2 linked regions of the Alligator mississippiensis genome follow. The protein of the gene in region 2 interacts with the protein of the main gene of each other region in a pairwise test. Links are inferred from orthologs where the notes say so. Each region holds a gene or a part of one and is shown on either strand. Other genes may lie near its edges. The genes, in order: EIF5 and DUSP12.

Region 1 (11,032 bases), on a different chromosome or scaffold from region 2:
CTAAGATTAAAATAGCATGATGTTTAAGAAAATACTTCTCTTACTATGAGCATGTATGCATATTAGTGCACTAGGGCCCCAATGTTGGATGAGTCCTGTAGGTACTGCTGTAATAACAGGAACAAAAAACATCTTCTGCCTATCACTATACCTCTTGTTCTCCCGATTCTTTCTTTATTTCCTCTCTTTAAATAACAGTGTTTGTTAACAGCAAATTACTACTATAGAACAGGGGCACCAGAGTATTTCACAACCCAAAATTTTCAGGAATCAAGGGTTTAGCAGTGGTGGGCCAAATTAATGCTGCTTGCTCTAAAAGCAGGCTCCCACTTGTGAGTAGGACACTGCCACCAATTCCCCCTGTACCCACATTGCTGCCAAAGCCCCCGCTCTGTAGGCTGGATAAAACAGCTTGGTGGGTCAGATTTGACCTGTAGGCCATAGGCTGCCACCCCCTGAACAAGATGAGCGGAGCTGCACAACGGTTGGTGATGTGGAGATGCTGGCCAGGGACAAAAGAATAAACTTCTACTCTCTTTGCTACCAAAACTTTTTTATTTTTAGCATCTGTGGAGAACAGATATCTGAAAGAACCTTGTAGTGTACACTTCATTCCTGTTTCTTGCTGGGCACATGTAAACTACATGATTTCAATATATCCACTTTAGAAACCTGAAGGACTGTCAACCCTGCAGAAATCCAGACTTGTGTTTCCCAAGAGTTTACATATTCAAACCTGACACCTAAATAATTAAGTTATCTCTTCACACTGCCAAGACAGGAAGAAGAGAGCACTTAATTATTTGGGTGCCAGGCTTGAATATTTAAATTACCAACCCTCCTTTCTGACCAGTTACTACATACCTGATTCAACTACTCGGTTGAATTGCGCCCACACAGTAGATTCTTTCACAACACAACTGTAGGTCAGCCATGACGGTGCAGCTACTCTTGCTATACGTACTTCCTGGGTGTGTGTATCACTGTATTTTGGGAAAATCTGGACAGCTTTCAGGGGATATGCCTCAGTGGAGCGCTGGGTGCTCGGAGAGCAGCACTAAGACTAAATACATGCATGGGTGTCCTTCAGTACAGAGCTGGAAAGACATGAATTGAGCAGATCAGTTACATAAGCACAACTCGGGGGGGTTCCTCTGCTGCAAAAAACTTCACTGAACCAGTCATGGGAAGACAACACGTGCAGCTCACAAATCTGGCATGGGAAAATGTTACTCCCAGCTGTGGTTACTGACTGAATGTTAAAATAGCCAACAACATTCCTAATAGATTACAAACTTTCTTAACTTGCGGATAAGCAGGGCCTAAAATTTTATAAACATATTGGTTTATAAGGATTCCCATGCTCTTGTGGCCTGGTATCTTATGTACAAATATCTGGTAGATCCTTAATTATTCCTTTTTCTCATTTAGCTGTAGCATGTCATCATCCTAGCTGTAGCACCTAACTTTTTTGTAGGATTCTTTAGTAAAACCAGGACAACAAAGAACAAAGTTGAATCATTCAGAGCTGAATTAAACCACCCAAAGACATTTGTATTAAAAAGTAAATTTCCTCTAGAGAGGTGAGTCACTGTTGACAATTTCCTGCTGTCAGTAATATAATTGCTGTTAGAAAATAACTCAGACAGCTACTGCCAACCAATAATCTCTTAACTAAAAGAGCTGAGTATAGTTATACATTGCTTAGCTTATACCAGTGAAATGCAAGGTACACAAGTGGCCTGTATTTTGAAGGTCACATCAGCAATTTAAACTGAATTTATGAACTTTGGTACTTGTGCAACCATGAGAGTAAAGAGGGGAAGAGTTATTTTTGCTATCTCATCAAAGGCAGAAGTTTCTAAAATGAACAAAATTCAAATTCTTTTTATTCAGTAGCAGTACCTGAGATCAAGAGTTAAATTGATTTTTTTTTTCAAGTTAGATGACATGAAAAATGAGTCCTCCAAAGCATCAAGGAATGCAGTTTAGCTTAGCCAGTGTAAGCCAGTGTAAGCCAGTGTAATGAGAGACTGTCCTCTGACTTCATTCACATTGGACGAGTGCCACGTTTTATGAACAACACTTCAAAAGGAACCTGTGAAATGATGCCAATTTGTTTAATGTAAAATAAAGATGTAACCTGTGTCCCAGTACCACTGAAGTCATCCATTTGAACCTTTATTCATTACGTCGAATGCACCAAATTTGGGGTCCCTGCTTCCCCTCTGCTACACATAGAAATAATGTGGGCAGCAGCACAAACCTCAGAAGCGCTGTGCCTTGAAACTAAAGCCACAGAAAGAAGGCATTTAGCAAGTTACACATCCAGTACATTTTTGCAACAGAGACATTTCCTGCTGGGCTTTTCTTGCATCCCTCATTCTGATGATTTCTTCCTCTTGCTAATTTCCAACTCATGCCTATATTGGAGAGACACTTCCCTAATTTGAATTCTAAAACAGTATTTAAAATCTCTCCTGTTGAGGAATGTTGCTGTGCCTGGTTCGAGATGACACTGAAAATGTCTCTGAGGACTTTTAACAATCCCTCATTCAGGCAGTCAGAGTTCAAGCCAGCCCTGCATGCCCATTTTCTAAGTCAGTGTCCTGTCCTGAACACTTGCTATTCACAAGGCTGAGCAGAGACGTGTAATTAGGGCAGCAGCCATGTTGTAGGAGGGTCTTGCTAGGAGACAGTATTCAGGGAAACACATATACATCTCTGGCAACTGCATTCCTGCTAGGCTGCTGTTGCTGCTGAGGAAACATTGTTTTCATTGCTGGATGTGACTGATATTTTCCTTAGCAATAGCCTTTGTGTTCTCTAGGAAAATAACATTTGTCAGCCACCTTTGCACTCCAGTGTTGCTCTTTTGTCTGTCAGAGCAAGTCTTCAAGATACATTAAAAGGTGCAAGAAGAGAGCAGTTCCCTTTGTTTGTGTCAGCTTTGTACAGCTGATCTTGAAATCTTTTGGTTTAAACTTAATGTGTACCTGGATTTAAAACCTCCTTTGTATTTGTGTTGGATATTATTCTTATTAAAATCTTAATTCTTCAACAATCTGCCCCTTTTTATTCTTCTTACTCTTCCAGAGATCCTGCAAAATGCTGTATAACATTATCAGTAAAACATGCTCAGTTACAAGGAATCTTTTGCCATTGTCTGTAAAGGAGCAGAGGATACGAATACGAAGAGGTGGTTTGTTATGTGAACTGCTAAAATTTTAATCATGACCCTACTGTGCCTTGGCACTTCCTCTTTATATTACCAGTATATGGCTATAAAAATATCCAAAATATTTAATTACTGCTTTCTTGTGGGTGGGGGGACAGGTCTTTGAATGTGTTCCCCTGAATGCCTTCATGCTGACCCTGCTTGAAAGGGAACATAATGTTTCTGGTAATCACTGGTAATTAAGGAAGTAAAAGATGAGGAAATGGGTTTGAGTTCTGTGTCCTTTACAAGACTAATATTTTTTAAATGAGACTTCAAATCCTGGTGGTATCCACACTTGGAGCCTCTGTCCAGGCAGGAAACAAACTCCCAAGGGAGGTGGTGCTCTCCCCTACCCTGGGGGTCTTCAAGAGGAGGTTGGATATGCATCTAGCTGGGGTCATCTGAACCCAGCACCCTTTCCTGCTTATGCAGGGGGTCGGACGCGATGATCTATTGAGGTCCCTTCCGACCCTAACATCTATGAATCTATGAAACTGGCAGCATTGGTGTGGCAAGTTGCAATCGTCTGCACAGAAACACCTTGGCGCCGTTTTGTGATGGGTCGTTCTGGGATGGGTCACAGCTCACTGAATTAGCTTCCAGGTCCACCCAAATTTGAGCCTCTATGAATGTTAACCCCTGCAAATAAACTTGTTAACACACGGGGAGTTTTAACAATGCACCCCTGATATCTAATGTACAGTATACAGGTGTTTAGCATACATGACTTATGTAACATCAAACCTTTGGTCACGCCTGTACACCATAACTTAAGACCCACCCAAATGGGTCCTGGATAGGATGTGGCATTGCTAGAGACTGTGTAAGTGACTGAGAGAATTGGCAGTGTCGTAAAAAGGGGCTGGGGGCGAACACAGCGACCGCCCCAGGCACTGAAGAGAAGGGGCACTGACAGGCGCTGCCCAGCCGGGACAGGGCGCAGATGGAGCCGCGAGTGGCTCATTTGTGGGGGCACGGGGAAAGTGTGGCTCCCACCTCTGCGTGCACTCCCGGGCAAGTGCGGGGGGTTGTGTGGCCCCTGGATCTGCGCGCAGGGCGAGGGCAGGCTGCCACTGCAGACTCTGCCCCGGGTGGCAAACTTCATTGCTACGGCACTGAGAACTGGAGATTCGCGCCCTTCCTGTAGGCTTGGACCATGCTTGGTTCCATGTCCATACCAGGAGCTGACAGCGATGGGGGCTGTAACCCTGTGTGGGGCAGGGAAAACTGGGCCTTCGTGCCCTCTTTAATGTGGAGGGTAAGCCAGGCTTACGAGCTCATGGCCATTTGTGTGGCTGGTATTTAGACTCCGCGCTCTGCTGGCCAAACAAGTCTCACGCTCAGCCGGACGGCCCTTCTCCACCTGCACGCGATGCGGTTACTTCCAAACGCCCGGCTCAACCTGCTCCAAAACTGCAGGGTTAGCTGCGGGCATCGGCTGGCAGAACCTGGCAAACGGGGTTCAGAACGGGAAGCGGGACAGAGGCAGCCTTGAGCAGGAGACCCAGCACCTCCGCACCCCCAAGCGGTGGGGGGCAGCCCTTAGCAACCCCCCAGCCCAGCTCCCCTCATCTGCCCATGGTGGTGTCTCAGGTTGAGGGACGCCAGGACTGACTCCTCTCAGCAGGCAGGAGAAAAATAAAACAAGCATGTTTTATTGGGGGAAAAGATTCATGGGGGGGGGGGGGGGGCTGGGTCCCTGGCACGTGGCTGGGGGGCACATGTGTCAACCAGGCTCGGTGTGGGGAGCAGTGGGGAGCATGTGGTCTGAGAAGAGCCTGGTGAGGAGCGGAGGCGGAGCCCCGGCACGCGACACGTGCACATGCCCCAGGACACAGGGCGCCACTGCCCCGGGCAAAGGGGGCTGAGACCATAAGAGACAAACGAGGGGGAGGGGGGCGCGGGGCACAGGGGGCGCCTGCCACGTGTCTCCCCCTCCCCGGCGGCACATGGGTCAATCCAACCCCTCCCCCGCGGGGAGCAGCACCAGATCCCGCTTCACTGAGTCATTCCTCTCTCCCTCCCCCCACCTCTTCCTCCAGCTTCTCGCGAGACTTCCCCGCAGTAGACGCGATGTCCTTTGGGGAAGCAAAGAGGGGGGGGCAAGGGGAGGCTAGTGCGGTTTGAGAGCTAAGCGCGGCAGCCAATAGGGTGGGCGGAGGGCGTGCGGCCAGCCAATGGCAGGAACGCGGGGGCGGGGCACGCCGTTGGCTGATTGATCCCAGCTTTGGCGTTGTTCAGTCCGAGCGAGAACATTCTAGAGGTGAGTACGGGGCGGCCATTGCCGGGCTTCCAGCCGCTGCCCCCTCCCCTCCAGCTCCAACTCAGCTGCGCCCGCCGCCGCCACGCAGGTGCCACCGCTAATGATGCCCCCGCCCGCGTGTCTCCCGCAGGTTGTCCGGCGCCGCCGCTGCCCCTGCTGATCCCGCCCGCCCCAGGACGCTCGGACCCGGCGGCTGCGGCGCCCGCCTCCGCCTCTCACCGCCCGCCTATAAGCGCCGCACCGCCCGGTTCTCCTTACGCACTCGGCTTCGTCGCGGCCCGGGGCGAGCAGCGTTGGGTTTATGTCTTTATTGGACGAAAACGGTGAGTCCCGCCTGGGGCGGGGAGGTGAGGGGGGTGCCCGGGGCTCAAGCACGGCGGGGGCAGGGAGGGACGCTGGGGATATTGTGAGGGTCGGGGGGGGCGGCAAAAAGTGGTGGTTCAACTCCCTCCCTGCCCGTCTCCTCTCCGCCCCACGCGACGAGACAAGATGGCGGCAGGGCCGCGCCTCCGCGTGATTGGGGGGGGGGGGCGCTGTGGCGCAGTTTCGAATCCGCAGCGCGGGGGGAGGGGCGTGCTAGAACGAAGCTGCGGCTGCTCCTGGACTGCGCATGCGCGCGGTTGGGGGGGGGAGTTTTTCCTGTCCTCATCTCGGTTTTAGGGCTGACTCAGTACTTTGCTGCTGCATTTATGACTCATCACTGCTGTGAGGGGAGGGAGGGAGGCGGCCATCCTGCCTGCGCAGGCTCTGTCCTGTGAGGAGCAGTGCTGCCCCTGCTGCTGTGGGAGGGTGGGTTGCTTCAAGACAAAAGCAGTAGGCTAGAAAGGAGGGCGCAGTTCAGAGGCACCATCTTTTTGGACACGTGTTTGGGTCACATGCAGCCTTCTTCTTCTCCCCCCCCCCCCCCCCCACCCCAATTTGCTGGCAAAAGGCTCTCTTGTAGTTATGCAGTAAATCCAATTTTAATAATACTGGATCTCAAGCAGTGGAGACCCAGTAATGTAAAAAAGATAGTGTTTTGGTAATAACATAAAGTACTTGGAAAAATGTGGCTTCTGTTTGTTTGTTTGTTTGTTTGTTTGTTTTCTATTAGACTTTCTTCTGGTTGGTGTACTCTAATCATGTCCTGAATAAAAATTTAAGAAAACATTGGGTAGTGCAGCATTAGTTACCAAGGTGCATCGATATACCTTGGGGGATTGCTCTCAATTCTACTTTAGAGTACGTAAATTGGATTAGATGTGCACTTTGCTACTGACTTCCATTTGGTGAATTCCAAAGCAGTCTTGTGTACTTTTTTTAACCCTTTTGGTACCCAGCTAGTTAACCAACTGTGGTAACAGTAAATCCAGCTCTAATACCTGCACTTGTCTCCAAAATGTCCATATAGTAACAAGTCCACTTGTTAACTCTGTCCTTTCTACTTTATATAGTAGCAATAAAATTCTGTTTAAGTAATTGGAATATAAATCATCATAAATATAAATCGTATACAATATAAATCAGCATTTTTTCATATTTATGCTTCAGTTAACTTAATTATTAGTTGCCTGTAGCTGTTCTAATAGTAGGGCTCCTCCCAAGAATGCAGGAAAGGGTTGGGCAGAGTACTCTTAATTCCTTTGTTCCTCAGAAGTAAGTTTAGCAGTGGAAAACTACTTAAAGAACTGCTAATGGCTAAATGAGGTTGAAGAGAGCTGCTGTAAAAACATGAAGTGCCACAAGAATTTTTTGGGGAGGAACTAAAGTAGACAGTTGGTTTTAAAGGTGCACACATTTTTTCCATGATTGCAAAACAACAGAAATATCTGAATTTGAATCTTAATAAAATTAATCAAATAACTGTAGAATAGAACCCTGCACTGAACAAGCTTTCTATTTAATACTGGCAGTCTAAATTGTTCCTTTTATTTAATACTTTCAGAGCTGTTGCGCAGCCATTGGTACCTGTATTGGGGAAACATAGCGTACAAGCAAGAACCTTACAGCCTCAGTGGCGAAAATTTTTTCATGTCAGAGACCGAGAACTCTTGCAGTCGTTTATGTCATCCCGTCTTCTCCAGACAGAAGATACCAAAAAACTGCAATCAAAGATCTCTTCATCTTATTGATAAAGCAACTAATAAGACAAAATGTCTGTCAACGTCAACCGCAGTGTTTCAGATCAGTTCTATCGCTACAAAATGCCCCGTCTGATTGCCAAGGTAACTTCTTTTTTTTTTTTTTAATTTGTAGTCTCAATAACTAGCTCTCAGATTAAGTTAAATTTTCATCCCTATTTAAATGTTTAAGGAATGTGAGTTGCAGAGGTGACAAGACTAGTTCAGGGTCCCTTGGTTGGTCAGAGGTATTGCTTCTCAGCCTCTTGAAGGCTCAGATCACAAGGCTTAGATTCTGTACTCGTATTGTGGTTAGTGCTACAGTGTGCTACATTACCAAATGTAATCTGAGGAATGCTTTAAAAGCTTGTTGGGGAATGGCCATTACACATTTAACTAACTAAATCTCTGACTACTATTCCTTCTAGGTTGAGGGCAAAGGAAATGGAATAAAGACAGTTATAGTCAACATGGTTGACGTTGCAAAGGCGCTTAATCGGCCTCCAACGTGTAAGTATCTTTAATTTTGAAATCCTTGTATTTTGTTTCTCTTTTTGTAAAGTACCTGAAATCATACTGTGTTAAAAAAAAAAAAAAAAAAAGGAGAGGAAGCACTAAGTCATAAATGTCAATAGCAAATGCCAGATCATGAATCAAACCATGAATGGGAAACTTGTCAGCATAAAATGACTAACCTCACATGATGACTGTGGCTTCTTTCTTTGCATCTCAAAATGGCCAAACAGAAGAATCCTTTAATCATAGGTTAAAGGTCTATTACAGTTGAACTTAGTGTCTTTTTTTTAAACTTTAAGACAAGTGTTTGGTAATTTTGCATAACATGCAACGGCTCCTTACTTTATTATCAAAACTAGTACTAGTATTATCAAAACTAGTATTGGCTCACTCTTTCTGTTTGGCACCACATTGAGACACTGTGTTGGCATAGAAGGCAGGAATTAACTGTGAATCTCCAACTTAGTCCCTTATGATTTATTTTCTCTCTCTCCTTCTTTGAAAGATCCTACCAAATTTTTTGGTTGTGAGCTGGGAGCACAGACCCAGTTTGATGTTAAGAATGACCGTTACATTGTCAATGGATCTCACGAGGCGAATAAGCTGCAAGACATGTTGGATGGATTCATTAAAAAATTTGTTCTCTGTCCTGAGTGTGAGAATCCTGAAACTGATCTGGTGAGTACTTTTAAATATTGGTTGTAGAAACAAGACCTACCTCGTCTGAAAAACTGACATTGCCTTGCATGCTCATTAAGCTCAAGTAGTTAATCTTGCACAGGGTAATGTATATGACGTATGACACACAACCTCAGGAATATGAGATCTGACTTCAAATACCATGCAGAGTAAACAATGTGAATTCAGGGTTGTAGGCATAGCTATGTTTCAAAATTTGTGCACAAGGGATGAATTAGGAGGGCAAAATGTTACTTAAGCCTAGGGAGGTTGGTGGTTTAATGTGCAAAATATAGTTCATACAGAGCTTTAATGTCAAACTTTCACTTTGGCAGCATGTCAATACTAAGAAACAAACTATAGGCAACTCTTGCAAAGCCTGTGGCTATCGAGGCATGCTTGACACGAACCATAAACTCTGCACGTTCATTCTCAAAAACCCACCTGGTAAGTGTATTTTTAGCCACTTTAATTAGAATTAAGCAATCTAGGTGTTAAGACGTTGGTTGGTTGGTTTGTTTTTAACTTGTCAGTGCCTGACTGCATGGTGTAGAGGAGTTTGTTTCCCATTAGGAATGTTAGGGTTCATGGTAAAATCAACAAGATAATAACAATGGCAATCAATACCATGAGTAAAAACCATTTCTCTTACCTAAGATGCTAATCCATGGGTGAAGACAGCCGAGAGCCTTGTAAGCAATTGCCTTGTGTCTCCAGATTTAGTCTGTCCCTTCTAATAGTTACTCCCCTTCTGTTTGGCACTTTTTAGTAAAGTCACTAAGTGGCTTGTTCATTTGTTCTGCAAGCAACACTCTGTGGTAGACATCCATGTTGCCTGCTGCAATTTTAAGCTTGCTATAACAAAGAAGCCTAACCTATTCCAGTGGTCTCTGCTTTGTGAGATCATCTTGTTATATAGGCTTGGACAACCTGTTCTACTTGCAGATTGGTATTGCCAGTTGCTTCCTAAATCTAGGGCTGGGTTTCTTGCCAGGCTCTCGTGACAACACAAGCTTTCACCTAGTGGTCATGTTACAGATTCTGACAACAGTACTAGGTGACAGCAACAGAACTAAGAAAATTCTTTCATAGCAATGTCAGTATTACTGTAGTACTAAACGCCCTATAGGTAGCTAAATTGGCTTTAAGGGACAGTTGGACAATCGCAGAGATGTCCGCTATTCCTTATCATAAAAACTACTTCATTTTGTATCGAAACAAACTTTCATGTGGTTCCTGGGATCTGAGAAACCCATGTGTGATTTCAAACACTCCCTTCTCCACTTGCCTGTCGAAGGATAAAGAGCTGAAGAAACTGCTTGTCCAGGGTGTAATAAGTTTCCCATGATTAATCTATTTCAATAGTGTTTTTAAATGAGACCTCCTGTAACTGCTAATAAGCTGCTTCTCTAACCTTGGAACTTTACTCTCACTTTCTTGAAGAGAGAGTTGTATAATGCCAATTGTCATTTCACAGAATAGAATCAAAGAATTGGGGGAGACCTCAAAGGTCACTTTTGTCTAACACCTTACTTGAATGCCCAGATGCTGTTCCTAAAGCACCCCAATCCAGTGCTTATTGGACTTCCAATGTAGTCACTTCCACAACTTGCTTGGGTAGTCAATTCCATGAACAGAAAACTTTTAAAAACGGAAGACTTTGTAGCTGGACAGTAAAACTGGAGTCTAGAAATGAGTCCCTTAATGGGTGACCTAGCTAATGACCCAAGTATGAAAGTAAATGCATCAAAAAATACTTGAATATAAAGATACTGGTATCCTGTATGCAGCTGATCTAGTCAAACAGCCTAGATGATGTGACAGTCCTTTCAGTCATCCATTTCCTACAAGATCTCAAAATGGACCTTGGATCTGATGAGGTAGATCAAGTTGCCTCTTAAGAGTTCTACATTTAAACCTGGCTTTTCTAGGGTTCCAAATAAGAAAAACATCTGGCTGTACTCTAACTTCTGGATGTAAAAGGGATGTTTAGCTTACTTCTGAACACCGCAAGCAGAGTTCAGTCCTAATGTTAAGATGCTCTTCCTACCCGTGATGGGAAGGGCAGTAGTATGATGAAAGGGAGTCTTGGAATACTGAGTCAAACTCAACTCTAGAATCTGGTGTGCTTGAATGTAGAGCTGGTCTCTTTTTGTGCAGTAAGTAAAGGAAACTAAAGTATTGCATCTCTACTTTTAAGAGAGCAGTGATGCTGGCACAGGAAAGAAGGAAAAAGAGAAGAAGAATCGTAAAGGC
Region 2 (11,781 bases):
CAGATAGTTCACTGACTCTTTCATGCAGCCTTTAATCATATGGGTCCTAATGATTCTTCAATAAACAAGCTCTTGGCAGAAAGGGTATTTGGGAGTAGCCTTAGAGAAGCAATGTTTTACTGTTATAATCTGATTGATCCCAGGGCAAAAGCCAGGCAATCCCCTTCCTCAACTAAGGAGCCTCAAGACACCGCTGCAATTTCAGATGTTGTATTGTTTACTCTGTATCTGCAGGTCAATCATGGTTAATCTTCCAGCAGGTATTCTGCAAGACCTCAGTCTCAAAAGGATGAATTTTAACAGCATGTTAATCCTTGAGCTTGCAGTCTCAAATAACATCTTTTTCTAAATTAACCTTATTAACATGTTTTTCCCCTCAATAATTCATATAGCATAACAGTCTACAAATTACATGCACCCAGGGAGTTTCATCCAGCCCATCCTAACAAAGCTCTTTTCCCACTGATTCATGTGTTCACTATCATTAGGAGACTGGCTCTGCTGGAATATAAGTGTTGCATACTGCTTTGCTGTTCAGTTTGAAACTAAGCACTCAATTGGAAACAAGGATTTGTACAGCTCCTGTGTAAACAAGTTTAATTTTTCTAACAGAGACAATAAGAACATATATACTTGAACACTGAAGAATAAATCAAAAATTGATGTTTGACAAGACACTGTCCATTTAAAAAACTGCTCCAGCATCTTCTCATGAATTTAACAACAACAGAAAAAAGAAGGATCTAGAATGGCAATAAGCCAATGTTAAAAGTCATTCAGTTGCATCCCAGGAGGGTGAAATCAGCTTTTGCCAAAGAGCAGCAATCACAACTTGATGCTGAGGGTGATCCCACTGTAACAGTCCTCTGTTCTCAAAGCACATTGAGGTCGCTGACAGCAGCAAGCCTCAGAGCCAAGAATTCAAGTTTTGACAGTCTGGAATCCACCAACAGGCAGTGCTTGTATTCCATCTACTCGACTTTTGTGAATCTGGAAGGCAGGAGTCACCCAGCGGCCACAAGAACACTGCTCTCCATGCCAATTGAAGGAGCCCAACTTCAATGTGCATTTAGGGCACAGAAGCTGCAAAAAAACCAAAACAAAACAAAAAACACATGCATTTGCTTGGTCAAAGGCACAGCTTCACTTAAACTTCAGGAAGTTGCAACTCAACAGCAGCCTGGGACTTTCTTAAGTTTCAAATCCATACCCAGCCCTCCCCAGACTACAGAGTCACCTTCCACATTCAAAAGACTGCAAGCTACTTCAGTGCAATAAAGGAATTATTCCTCAACCTTCTCCAGTGGCAGACCACTTCTGGAAACCATTTCACAGCTCCCTGTTTTGTTTAGCAGGCAAATTCTTGTGGGCCATATTTATAAAAGCACTTGACAGAAAAAACAAAACAAAACAACAGAACCCCCCCCCCGCCCCAGAGAGCTCACCTCCTATACATCACCTAAATGAAACAACTCAGCACCTAACTGAGTTCAATACCCATCATCTCCCATTGATCTTAAATTTAGTTCCAGGGAACTGAGCAACTAAATATAGTGCTGAATTTTCAGCTCCCCAAGCAGCAGAGCTTTCTAGAAATCTAGCTCTACATCCTACAAATTCTAAAGCAGGGGTGGGCAAAATGGCCGATTTAGTGGCAGCCAGACTCCATTTCTCAGTAGCCTGTATGGCTGGGGCTGGTCTCCATGGGGACCCGCGCCACATCTGGACTGTGAAAGCTCAAGGCGGGGGTTGCCATGGAGACTGTGGGCTGGACTTTGCCCATCTCTGCTCTACAGAGACTTCTACAGTGAGCCAGACTGAGAACTTCTGTAATAACCACAACCAAAAGGTAGAGCTGGAATACAAAAAGAGAAGATGTGAGGAGGTACAAGAAGGCTGCTGCATGGGGCAAAAGCTGTACCAGAAGAGGTACACACCCTACCATGATTGCCAAGGGACCAGTAAGCAGAAGAACTAAACAGGATGAAGGAGGTCTAGAAAACAGCACGGGCAAGTCATGCTGTATCACTGTGAGGAAAAGAGGAACAGTAGGATTCATCTGACTGAAAGGGAGCCAGAGCCACAGGAAACACACTTGGGTTAGACCAGTTCTGCAAAAGAATGAAACAAAGACGAAGAATGCAAGATAAAGAACGCAATGAAGATTTACTAGCCTCACTAGCATCAACATCTGCCCACCTCAATCCTAACAGCAGTGAAAAAAGTAAATGCCCATGTGCAGCAAAAGACAAGAACTTCTCATGAGGAAAGTACAATTCTAGAGGCTGCTCTAGAAACACATCTTCTGCTCCAGGCTTATGTTTTCACCTTAAACTAAACTATCAAACAGTGGCCTACAATTTAACTTGCTATTGTCATAGCAGATGCCTGAAGCAAAATCCCCCTTCAGTGCCACCTTACCACCACTTGCAGGCTAAATGTGACCATCTTCTAATCTTGGAGCTCCAGAACAGTAGGAAGTGAGAATTAATCCCTAAATTAATCACCTTCAGAGGTGGCTCAAGCTGCGTGGACTGTGAAAAAGGCCTTGCATGACAGCTATAAAACTAGGACACTTAAATCTAGTCAGGGATGCAGACAAGAACAAGAATGCCCAGCAAGCAAGCACTCCCTCACCTGCCCTTCCATCATTCCCAACAATGCTGGCTCCATCCACTGTACCGGCTCAATGAAGTAAGAAGTACATTTATCCTGACCATCATTATGTCGCTGAGCAGAATCTTTAATTCTCTTGTGAGCAAAAGCTGCTGGCCCACTTCCTTCAGCATGGGTCAGAATGCTTGAACTACGAAATAGGGACCGCCTGTCATCCAAAATAACAAAGGATTAGTGGGAACATCACGGTATACCAAGGCACAGGGGCACAAGGAGCCCTTGTCGGCAAGGGATGGGTTTTGTCCAGCCGACACAACCATGTAACAAGGTCAGCAATGGCTGACATGTTCAGCTTCTGGCCTGTCGACCAGACCAAGCCCTTGATGCCATGTCATCTAATATGCAGGGCTCCCCAAGAGTTCCAAAGGGATGCAGTATGGGGCCAATCTGGCTCATGCACCAGCTTATTCATCTAACCCACAGGGTCAAAACTGTGAGCACCACTGGTCTGGAGCCAGCCAATTGTCCCCCACAGTTCCACTTGGTTTCTTATACAGCCACAGTTAGCAAAATCACGAAGAAGGAAGTCACACCTTTTTCAAACGGACGTTTCCAAGTTTGTTTGTTTTTTCTGTTCTGAGAATAGCCAACCCATTTTCCTTATGACAGTTTATTTTGAAAAAAAAAAAACAACCTATGGAGGACAAAGGATATGTACCTGCACTTTCTGCACCTATAGAGAGCCTCATTGTTTGAAGCTGGACAAGTGTTGGTTGGATCAATTGCAAAGACTTCTTGGGGCAAGTCCTGCAGCTCTGCAAAAAGACAGACAACACTAGTTTGGGAACTGGGTGGACAGACCCAGCACTTCCTGTGTCTAGGTAAAGTGTTGTGCCTTTCCCCTCTGCATGCGAGAGCTTCCTTTCCTCACCTTGTTTCCATTTTAGAGGAAGTTCAAAACTAAGCAGCCCCACACAGACATGTAAGACAAGCTCTACCATGCTAAAAGCAAGAAGCCTTGGGTCAGCAACAATCGTTGGCATTGTTCCAGCCTACAGAAGACACTTGGTTGCTTGGGCATACAAAACTTCCTCTACACCATTTAGTGTTGCAGCTACTGAGGCTTTTGCGTGCAACTTGTCACCAGGTGCCAGAGCCCTCCGTGGTCAGCAACGCTGCTGTGAATCCCTGAATCACCCTGCATGTCCAGCTGCAGAATTTGGCCTTATGTCCCCTATGTCTACAGGGAAAGCTGCTAGAAGGGACAGAGAGGGGACTGCTCCCAACTCTGTCTTGTGTGCAGGTAGGAAACCCTGATCTCCAGCAACCTGGGGACTACCTACTCCTCACCAGTACCTGGAGGACCCCACCAGCACGATAGGGTGTCCCAGACTACCAGCACCAACTCTGATCAGCTCCGTGCTCGTGAGGATGGGGGTCAGGCCCAGGAGCCCCCAATTTGTTGCCAGGTAGCCCCAGTGTCAGGGCCCAGCAGGCAAGAGCCCGGCCTCCACCCAACCTGACAGCTGCCCAGACACGTGCTCCCCCAGTCCCAGCCGGCTCCGAGCGGGGCTTACCGGGGTGCTCCTGGGCCAGGCGCTGCAGGCGGTAGCACTTGTACAGCCCGCTGGTCGCATCCACCCGGCACCCCATGGCCTCGTACAGCTCCAGCTGCCGCGCGAAGCCTGCGTTCATCCTGCGGGGACAGGGGCGACGCGGGTCAGTACCCGCGGGGGCGGCTCCGGGGCGGGCGGGGGCCGGCACTCACCTAGCTTCGGGCCTGACGGCGCGGACTGCGGCGTAGGCCTCGGGGAAGCGCAGCCCCTCGCTTTTCATCAGGTAGGCAGCCACCACCGCCGCGCTGCGGCTCCGCCCCGCGTGGCTGCAAAGCAAACGACCCAAGCTCGGCTCGGCTCTGGGCCGGAGCAGCGCACTGCAGCACCCCCGCCCCGCCCCGCTCCGCTCTCACCAGCGCACGAGGGCGGCGCGGCCGGTGGCCTGGGCGGCGGCGAGGAAGGCGGCGCAGGCATCCAGGTGGCTCAGCAGGTCGGCGCCGGGCTCGTCGCGGGCCGCCACGTGCAGCGTCCGGACGCCCGGGGGCGGCGGCGCCGGCTCCTCCACATCCACCGAGAGCAGAGCCACCACCCCCGCCGCTTCCAGAGCCCCCGGCGCCGCGCCCGCCTCCGCACCGCCCAGGTACAACCCCCGCCGCACCCGCACCATTCCAGTCCCCGCCGCCATGGCGGGTTCCGGGCCTGCACGCCCTGCCGCCGACGCCACTCTCATGGCAGCTTCCGGTCCCCTCCTGCCAGGTCACGGCGCCTTCCTGCAGTAGAGACGCGCCGCGCTGGTCTGGACGAGGCTCTTAAAAGCACCAACAATGCAGAGAAATGATGAGGCTGAAGTTGCTGCTTTATTCCGGATTCCCGGTTCCTTTTTCAAAGCTAATCTAGACCCAATAAAAGCTTTTTATTAATGAATTACACATTTTAAAGAGAGAATTGCATTAGCTATACTTATTTACCTATTAATATGTGAATTAATATCCTGCATGAAATACAGAGCCCTAAGTGAAGATCAGATTAGGATGAGATTATGGGGCAAAATACTTCTTGAGCCACCCCAAACTTCCTGTCGATGCACCCAAAGACTCCTGAGTGCAGTCCTGCCCACCCCAAAGCAGTTTGGCCCTGCCAACGGACAGCCTCCCATGCCCACTGTACTAAGTATATGGAGTCAAATAAGGCGCTGGTTTTTGTGTTGGGATTATGGCTGAAAATCCTTGGGCCACCCCACACCATGCTTGGGTATCACAAGAGAACATACCTGACTAGCATCTTGCCCAGCTCAAAGCGCAGCTTGGCTGTGCCAGGCTGCCAACTGACAGCTCCCCCCCCCCCCCCCCCACCATACTGAGTATGGGAATCAGGAATAAGGAACTGGGAATAAGGAACCTACTTCAGCCTCATGAGAAATGTGGAAAACACCAAATTCTCATGTAGCAGGCAACTGAGATTTATGCAAGGCTTTTTAGCCATAGTCCAAGTCCAGGCCTTCTGGAGCTAAGCAACAGATTGAACAGAGCACTTTCTGTGGCACTGGGAGATGTGAGTGCTGCGATTAGGCACTGGCCAAGCAAGTTACAACAGTTTCCCTATAAGGAATGTGCTTGGCACAGTGTCAGAGGATTGGTGCACCATGCTTGGTACAGAACCAGAGGATTGGACAATTTGACATGCAAAAAGTTACAAAAGTAATAGACAAACAAGTGAGAGCAGGCGAGTAGAGGTGATAGGCTCATGGTAGATTTGATATCTTTTATTAGACCATTTTTTTTTGCAAAAATGTTATCTTAGCTTTCAGGCACAAACACCCTTCATCAGGCATTGGAGAAAAACATTGTAAAAGTTCTCCTGGGTAGAAATAAAAGCTCATATTTCATAGGATTTCACAGAGGGGTCAATAGATAGAATACTCCTCTGGGCAGGCAGTTCTTAGCTAGTAAGGAGTCTCTTAGCTCTCTTGTGAGGCTCTGTGATGATGCAAATTTCATAGACATTAGGGCTGGAAGGTACCTCATAAAATCATCGGGTCCAGCCCCATGCCCAAGGGGCAGGAAGGCTGCTGGAGTCAAATGATCCCAGCAAGATAGGGATCCAAGTGTGTCTTAAAAGGTGTCCAGAGTAAGTGCTTTCACCACTTCTGCAGGGAGTCTATTCCAGACTCTGGGGACTCGGAGTGTAAAGAAGATTTTTCTTATGTCCAGCCTAAAATGGTCTTCCCAGAGTTTGTGACCATTAGACCTTGTCTTCCCTTGGGGTATCCTGGTAAAACAGACATTCTCCCAATTCCTGGTGCATACCCCTCTGTAACAGGTCACCTCCCCAGTGCCATCTTCCTGGTAATCCACGCCTTATGGGGGCGCCCTTGGAGCCTTCTTTGGGGTTCTTATGTCCCGCCCTATACTCACCTGCCACGTCTTGATGGAAATTATTATGATGATTTTCTTGTGAGCGGGAGACTGCCTATTTCTTTGGGTAGGTTGGGGCCTTTCACCTACGCAGGCCTGACCCCTGGCTAGGCCTCTCCATCTAAACCAACTAAACAGGGTTTGACTTCAAGGCTCTAGCCTTTTCAGTGTCTTGAGGCTCCTGGCCCTCTTTTCTGTTCCAATCTGGAGCCTGGCCCAGGGGCCCGGGCACCAACCCCACAGCCGAGGGGCCACAAGTTCAAAGCCAGGGGACGGCCCTGAGCTCGCAGCCTCCCAGTCCAAAAAAAAAGATACCAAAATAAAGTTGCACCACAAGCGCACCAGACCTCCCTGGCCTTTTTAAGATCTTGCCTTCAGGCACCAGGGTCTGTGCCCCGCCCCCCCCCCCCCAAGAAGCCACACCCTCGCTGGCACTGGGGTCTGTGCCTCTCCCCCCCAAAAAAGCCACACCCTCACTGGCGCTGGGGTCCCCACTCCATAGTGGGTCCCCAAAATGAGGCCTCCTCCTTCCCCTAATAACCTCACCCAAACCGCCGGTCTTATTCATTAATCAGAAAGAAAAAAAACCAAACAGTCCCATCCATGGGTTATAACCGCCACCAGCTAATGTGATAAAGAAAAGCAGCGTGTCAGCTTACATTCACCGGGTCCGTGCTTCGGCTCCCCACCGTCAGCTCATGTCTTTGCTGTGATGGGGTTGCCGTCTCCCCGGGGCCTTCATGGCTCCCCTCTTACCACCTTTGGACTGCTTCTCCATGAAACTCTCTGAGGCACTCCTTCCCCTCCAGCAGCTCCCTCCAAATTACAGCTCTGCCCAGGGTTTTTATAGTCCTGCCCCTTCCGGTCAGCTGACTAGCTGACCAGGCTCAACATTTAACCCCTTCTTTCCCAGCACTTCATGCCCAGAAAGTTCTGGCCTTAAAGGGGCGGACGTGCCTTCTGGTAACAGGGCTAGGGTCCCCTGTTACACCCTCATATACTTATAGGAAGCCACCAAGTCCCCCCTGAGCCTTCACTTTTCCAGGCTGAAGATTCCCATGCCTCAGCCTTTCCTCATAAGACCTGTTCTCTTGACTTCTAATCATGCACATGGCTCTCCTCTGGACTCTCTCAAGCTTCTCCACATCCTTCCTAAAGTTCAGAGCCCAGAACTAAATGTAATGCTCCAGCCCAGTACCAAGGCTGAGTACAGCGGGAGGATGACATCCTGGGTCTTGCTTGAGATGCATCGATAGATACAAGCCAGAGTTTTGTTTGCTTTGCCAGCTGCATCATTGCATTGGCTACAAAATGAACATGATCCAACAATCATGACCCCAAAATCTCTTTCGGTCGTGGTGCTAGTGAGCATAGCACTGCTGAGCCTATAGGTATGATGTGAATTCTTTTTCCCAGGGTGGAGCACCTTGCATTTCTCAGTGTTGGATGCCATCAGGTTTTGATCCGCCCACCTTGCAAGCTTGTCCAGGTTGGCCTGAATCACCAGCCTGTCCTCAGATGAGACCACACTTCCCCATAGTTTGGTGTCTTAGATTTCATAGACACTAGGACTGGAAGGGACCTTGGAAGATCATCGAGTCCAGCCCCCTGCCCCAGGGGCAGGAAGTCAGCAAGGGTCATAGGATCCCAGCAAGATAAACATCCAAATGTCTCTTGAAGGTGTTCAAAGTAGGTGCTTGAACCACCTCTGGCAGCAGTCTATTCCAAACATTGGGGGCTTGAACAGTAAAGAAGTTCTTCCTTATATCCAGCCTGAAATGGTCATGGAGGAGTTTGTGACCATTCAATCTGGTCATCCCTTGGGGTGCTCTGGTGATCAGACGTTCCCCCAGATCCTGGTGAGCACCCCTGATAAACTTATAGGTGGCTACCAGATCACCCCGAGCCTGTGCTTTTCCAGGCTGAAGAGTCCCATAGCTCTCAGCCTGTCATCAGAAGGTCTGTTTTCCTGACCTCTGATCATGCACATGACTCTCCTCTGGACTCTGTCAAGCTTCTCCACTTCCTTTTTGAATTGTGGAGTCCAAAACTGGATGCAGTACTCTAGCTGCGGCCTCACCAAGGCCGAGTACAATGGCAGAATGATGTCCCGGGATTTGCTTGAGAAGCATTTATGGATGCAAACCAGCATTTTGTGCGCTTTACTAGATGCAGCATTACATTAATGGCTCATGTTCATCTTGTGGTCAATCATGACCCCCAAGTCCCATTCATCCATAGTGCTAGGCAGTGTAGCACTGCCGAGCCTATAAGGATGCTGCAGATTTTTCCTCCCAAAGTGGAGAACCTTGCATTTTTCAGTGTTAAACACAATCAGGTTCTTGTCCACCCATTTCCTGAGCCTGTCAAGGTCAGCCTGGATCGCCCTCCTGTCCTCAGGTGTGGACGCTTTACCCCAGAGTTTGGGGTCATCAGCGAACTTGGCCAGTCCGCGTCTAATACCAATATCCACATACATCATTAATGAAGATGTTGAATAGTATAGGCCCAAGGACACTGCCTTGAGGGATCCCACTGGTCACAGCACACCAGAATGATGGGCTTCCATCAACTACCACCCTCTGGGTCTGACCACGGAGCCAATTCCCCAGCCAGTGGATCATGGTGAGGCCGAGGCCGCAGTTAGCCAATTTTGCTAAGAGGTGATCATGGGATACCAAATCAAAGGCTTTTTTAAAGTCAAGGTATATCACATCAATCTTGTCTCCCTTGACCAGGTGATAGGTCACCTGGTCGTAAAAGGAAATAAGATTGGTCAAGCAAGACCTATCCGCAACCAACTCATGCTGGCTATCCCTCAGCCAATCTGTTAAGAACGGTCCCTTTGATAATCTTTTCTAAGACCTTCCCCGGGATAGAGGTCTATCCCGGGCCTGTAGTTTGTCAGATCCACTTTCCTCCCTTTCTTGAAGATAGGCACCACATTGGCCTTCCAATCTTCGGGCAGTTCACCAGAGCACCAGGAGTTCTCAAAGATCTGTGCCAAGGGCTGAGCTCTGATGCTTGCCAGCTCCTCGAGTACCCTCAGGTATAAACTGTCAGGGCTGGCTGACGTGAAGGTATCCAGCCTCTCAAGGTGTTCCTTCATGAGGTCAGCATTGATGGAGGGTGAGGAATCTCCCTCACCCAGGCCTTCCCATCCCATAATGGGCAGGGGCGTCCCATGGGACTGGTGAAAAACCAACGGAAAGTACCCATTTAGTAAGCTGGCTTTTTCCTGGGTGTCAGTTATCAGTTGTCCCATTTGGTTTAGCATGGGCCCAGTGTTGCCCTTGCTTTTCCTCTGACTCCCCACATACCTAAAAAAGGACTTTTTATTGTCCTTGATACTTGTAGCTAGTTGGAGTTCACTCGCAGCCTTGGCTTTCCTGGTTCTCTCCCTGCAGTTCTGGACTAGTGCAGAGCATTTCTCCTTGGAGGTGGATCCAGATCTTCATCCTTTGTAGGTCTTTCTTTTTAGACAGAGGAGGTCCGCTAGTTCACTGCAGAGCCGAGGGTGCTACTGTGCCCTTTTGCTGCCTTTTCTCCGAGATGGGATACACTTTGCTTGTGCATCCAGGATCGCTCCCTTGAGGAGCAACCACTTGTCCTGAACTCCCCTCCCCTTTGGGTCATGTTCCCTTAGGGCCTCACTGACAAGTCTCCTGAGCTTGTCAAAGTCAGCTTTCCTGAAGTCGAGGACTTCTGTATTGCTGACTGACTCGTTAGCTTTATGGCAGATGGTGAAGGTGATCAGCTCATGGTCATTGTCACCCGGCTTCCCTTTGATCATTAGGTTGCTGATTAGGTTGTCCCCCGTTGCCAGTACCAGGACGAGCAGCGCTTTACCTCTTGTCAGCTCATAGACTTCTTGCATCAGATAGAGCTCATCCGCGCATGACAGAAATCTTAGCAACCGTTCAGATTTGGCTGAGCACTCTTCCCATGAGATGTCTGGGTAGTTGAAGTCTCCTATGAGAACCATGCATCAGGAGCATGTGGCGTCAGCCAATTCCCTGGCGAAGTCTTGGTCAAGCTCTTGATCCTGGGTGGAGGTCTGTAGTAGACTCCCACCATTGTGTCCCCTGTGCTGTGTTCCCCACGGATTTTAACCCAGAGGGTTTCCAGTCATCCACCCTGGGTGCCGGTGTCGGCTTGCAGGGACATGTAGCTTTCCTTGACATTAAGGAGATTAGTTTTTTCGTGGGTGTCAGTTGTCAGCTGCCCCATTTGGTTTAGCAAGGGTCCAATGTTGCCCTTGTTTTTCTTCCGACTACCCACATACCTGAAGGAGGACTTTTTGTTTTCCTTGATTCCCGTAGCCAACTTGAATTTGGCTTTGGCTTTCCTAGTTTGCTCCCTACAGGTGTGGGCCAGTGTTGAATAATCCTCCTTGGTGATGTTACCTGACTTCCAGCCCTTGTAGGCTTCTCTTTTCAGATACGGGAGGTCTGTAAGTCCCCTATTTAGCCATGGGTGTCGCCCAGCCATTTTGCTACCTTTCCTATGGGCTGGGATGGACTTCCCTTGTGCTTCAAGGATCACATCCTTAAGGAGTGACCACTCCTCATGGACTCCCCTCTCTGCTAGATCCTGGTTTCTCAGGGCCATGGCAACCAGCCTCCTGAGCTTATGAAAGTTGGCTTTCGTAAGATCATGGATTTATGCATTGCTGACTGATTTGCTAGCTTTGCGATGGATAGAGAAAGTGATCAACTCATGATCACCGTCTTCCAGCTTCCCTTTGATTCTCAGGTTGCTTACTAGATCATCCCTGTTGGCCAGTACCAGATCCAGTAGCACCTTACCTCTTGTGGCCTGTAGACTTCTTGAGACAAGTAGAGTTTGTCAATGTAGATGAGAAAGCTATGCGACTGATCAGATTTGGCAAAGTGCTCCTCATGAGATGTCAGCGTAGTTGAAGTCACCCATGGCAACCATGCACCAAGTGCATGCAGCATCTACTAGTTCCCTTGTGAATGTGTAGTCAATGTGGCAAAGTGGGGCTCCCCAACTAGCCACAGTGCTAGTTTCCTCACTTGCCTTTGAGCACGCCACCCTCCTGACTTGCCTGCCATGCATTATTGTTAATTAATTAAGTTGTTAATTAAGGCAGGAGGCTACCCATTCTTGCCCCAATACCAGGGGGTGCTATCTGAGGCTCTGTTCCTCACCTACACCGCAGCCCAAGCCTC

The links.
Region 1: the proteins of DUSP12 (region 2) and EIF5 interact in binary tests that used the Homo sapiens proteins (3 or more experiments, as listed by UniProt). The two-hybrid records come from large-scale screens. The link is inferred for Alligator mississippiensis from reciprocal best matches to the Homo sapiens genes DUSP12 and EIF5.

What each region holds. Positions count from the first base shown.
Region 1 is NC_081825.1:286,325,958-286,336,989, forward strand, and holds the start of EIF5 (eukaryotic translation initiation factor 5), read left to right. Parts: upstream 1-5,435; 5' UTR 5,436-5,483; intron 5,484-5,613; 5' UTR 5,614-5,806; intron 5,807-7,407; 5' UTR 7,408-7,615; coding exon 7,616-7,687; intron 7,688-8,010; coding exon 8,011-8,092; intron 8,093-8,603; coding exon 8,604-8,776; intron 8,777-9,111; coding exon 9,112-9,223; intron 9,224-9,579; exon of another isoform or gene 9,580-9,706; intron 9,707-10,976; coding exon 10,977-11,032.
Region 2 is NC_081824.1:241,095,718-241,107,498, reverse strand, and holds DUSP12 (dual specificity protein phosphatase 12), read right to left. Parts: upstream 4,873-11,781; 5' UTR 4,858-4,872; coding exon 4,586-4,857; intron 4,499-4,585; coding exon 4,385-4,498; intron 4,313-4,384; coding exon 4,194-4,312; intron 3,432-4,193; coding exon 3,335-3,431; intron 2,825-3,334; coding exon 2,638-2,824; intron 1,084-2,637; coding exon 922-1,083; 3' UTR 581-921; downstream 1-580. UniProt on the Homo sapiens protein: Dual specificity phosphatase; can dephosphorylate both phosphotyrosine and phosphoserine or phosphothreonine residues. Can dephosphorylate glucokinase (in vitro).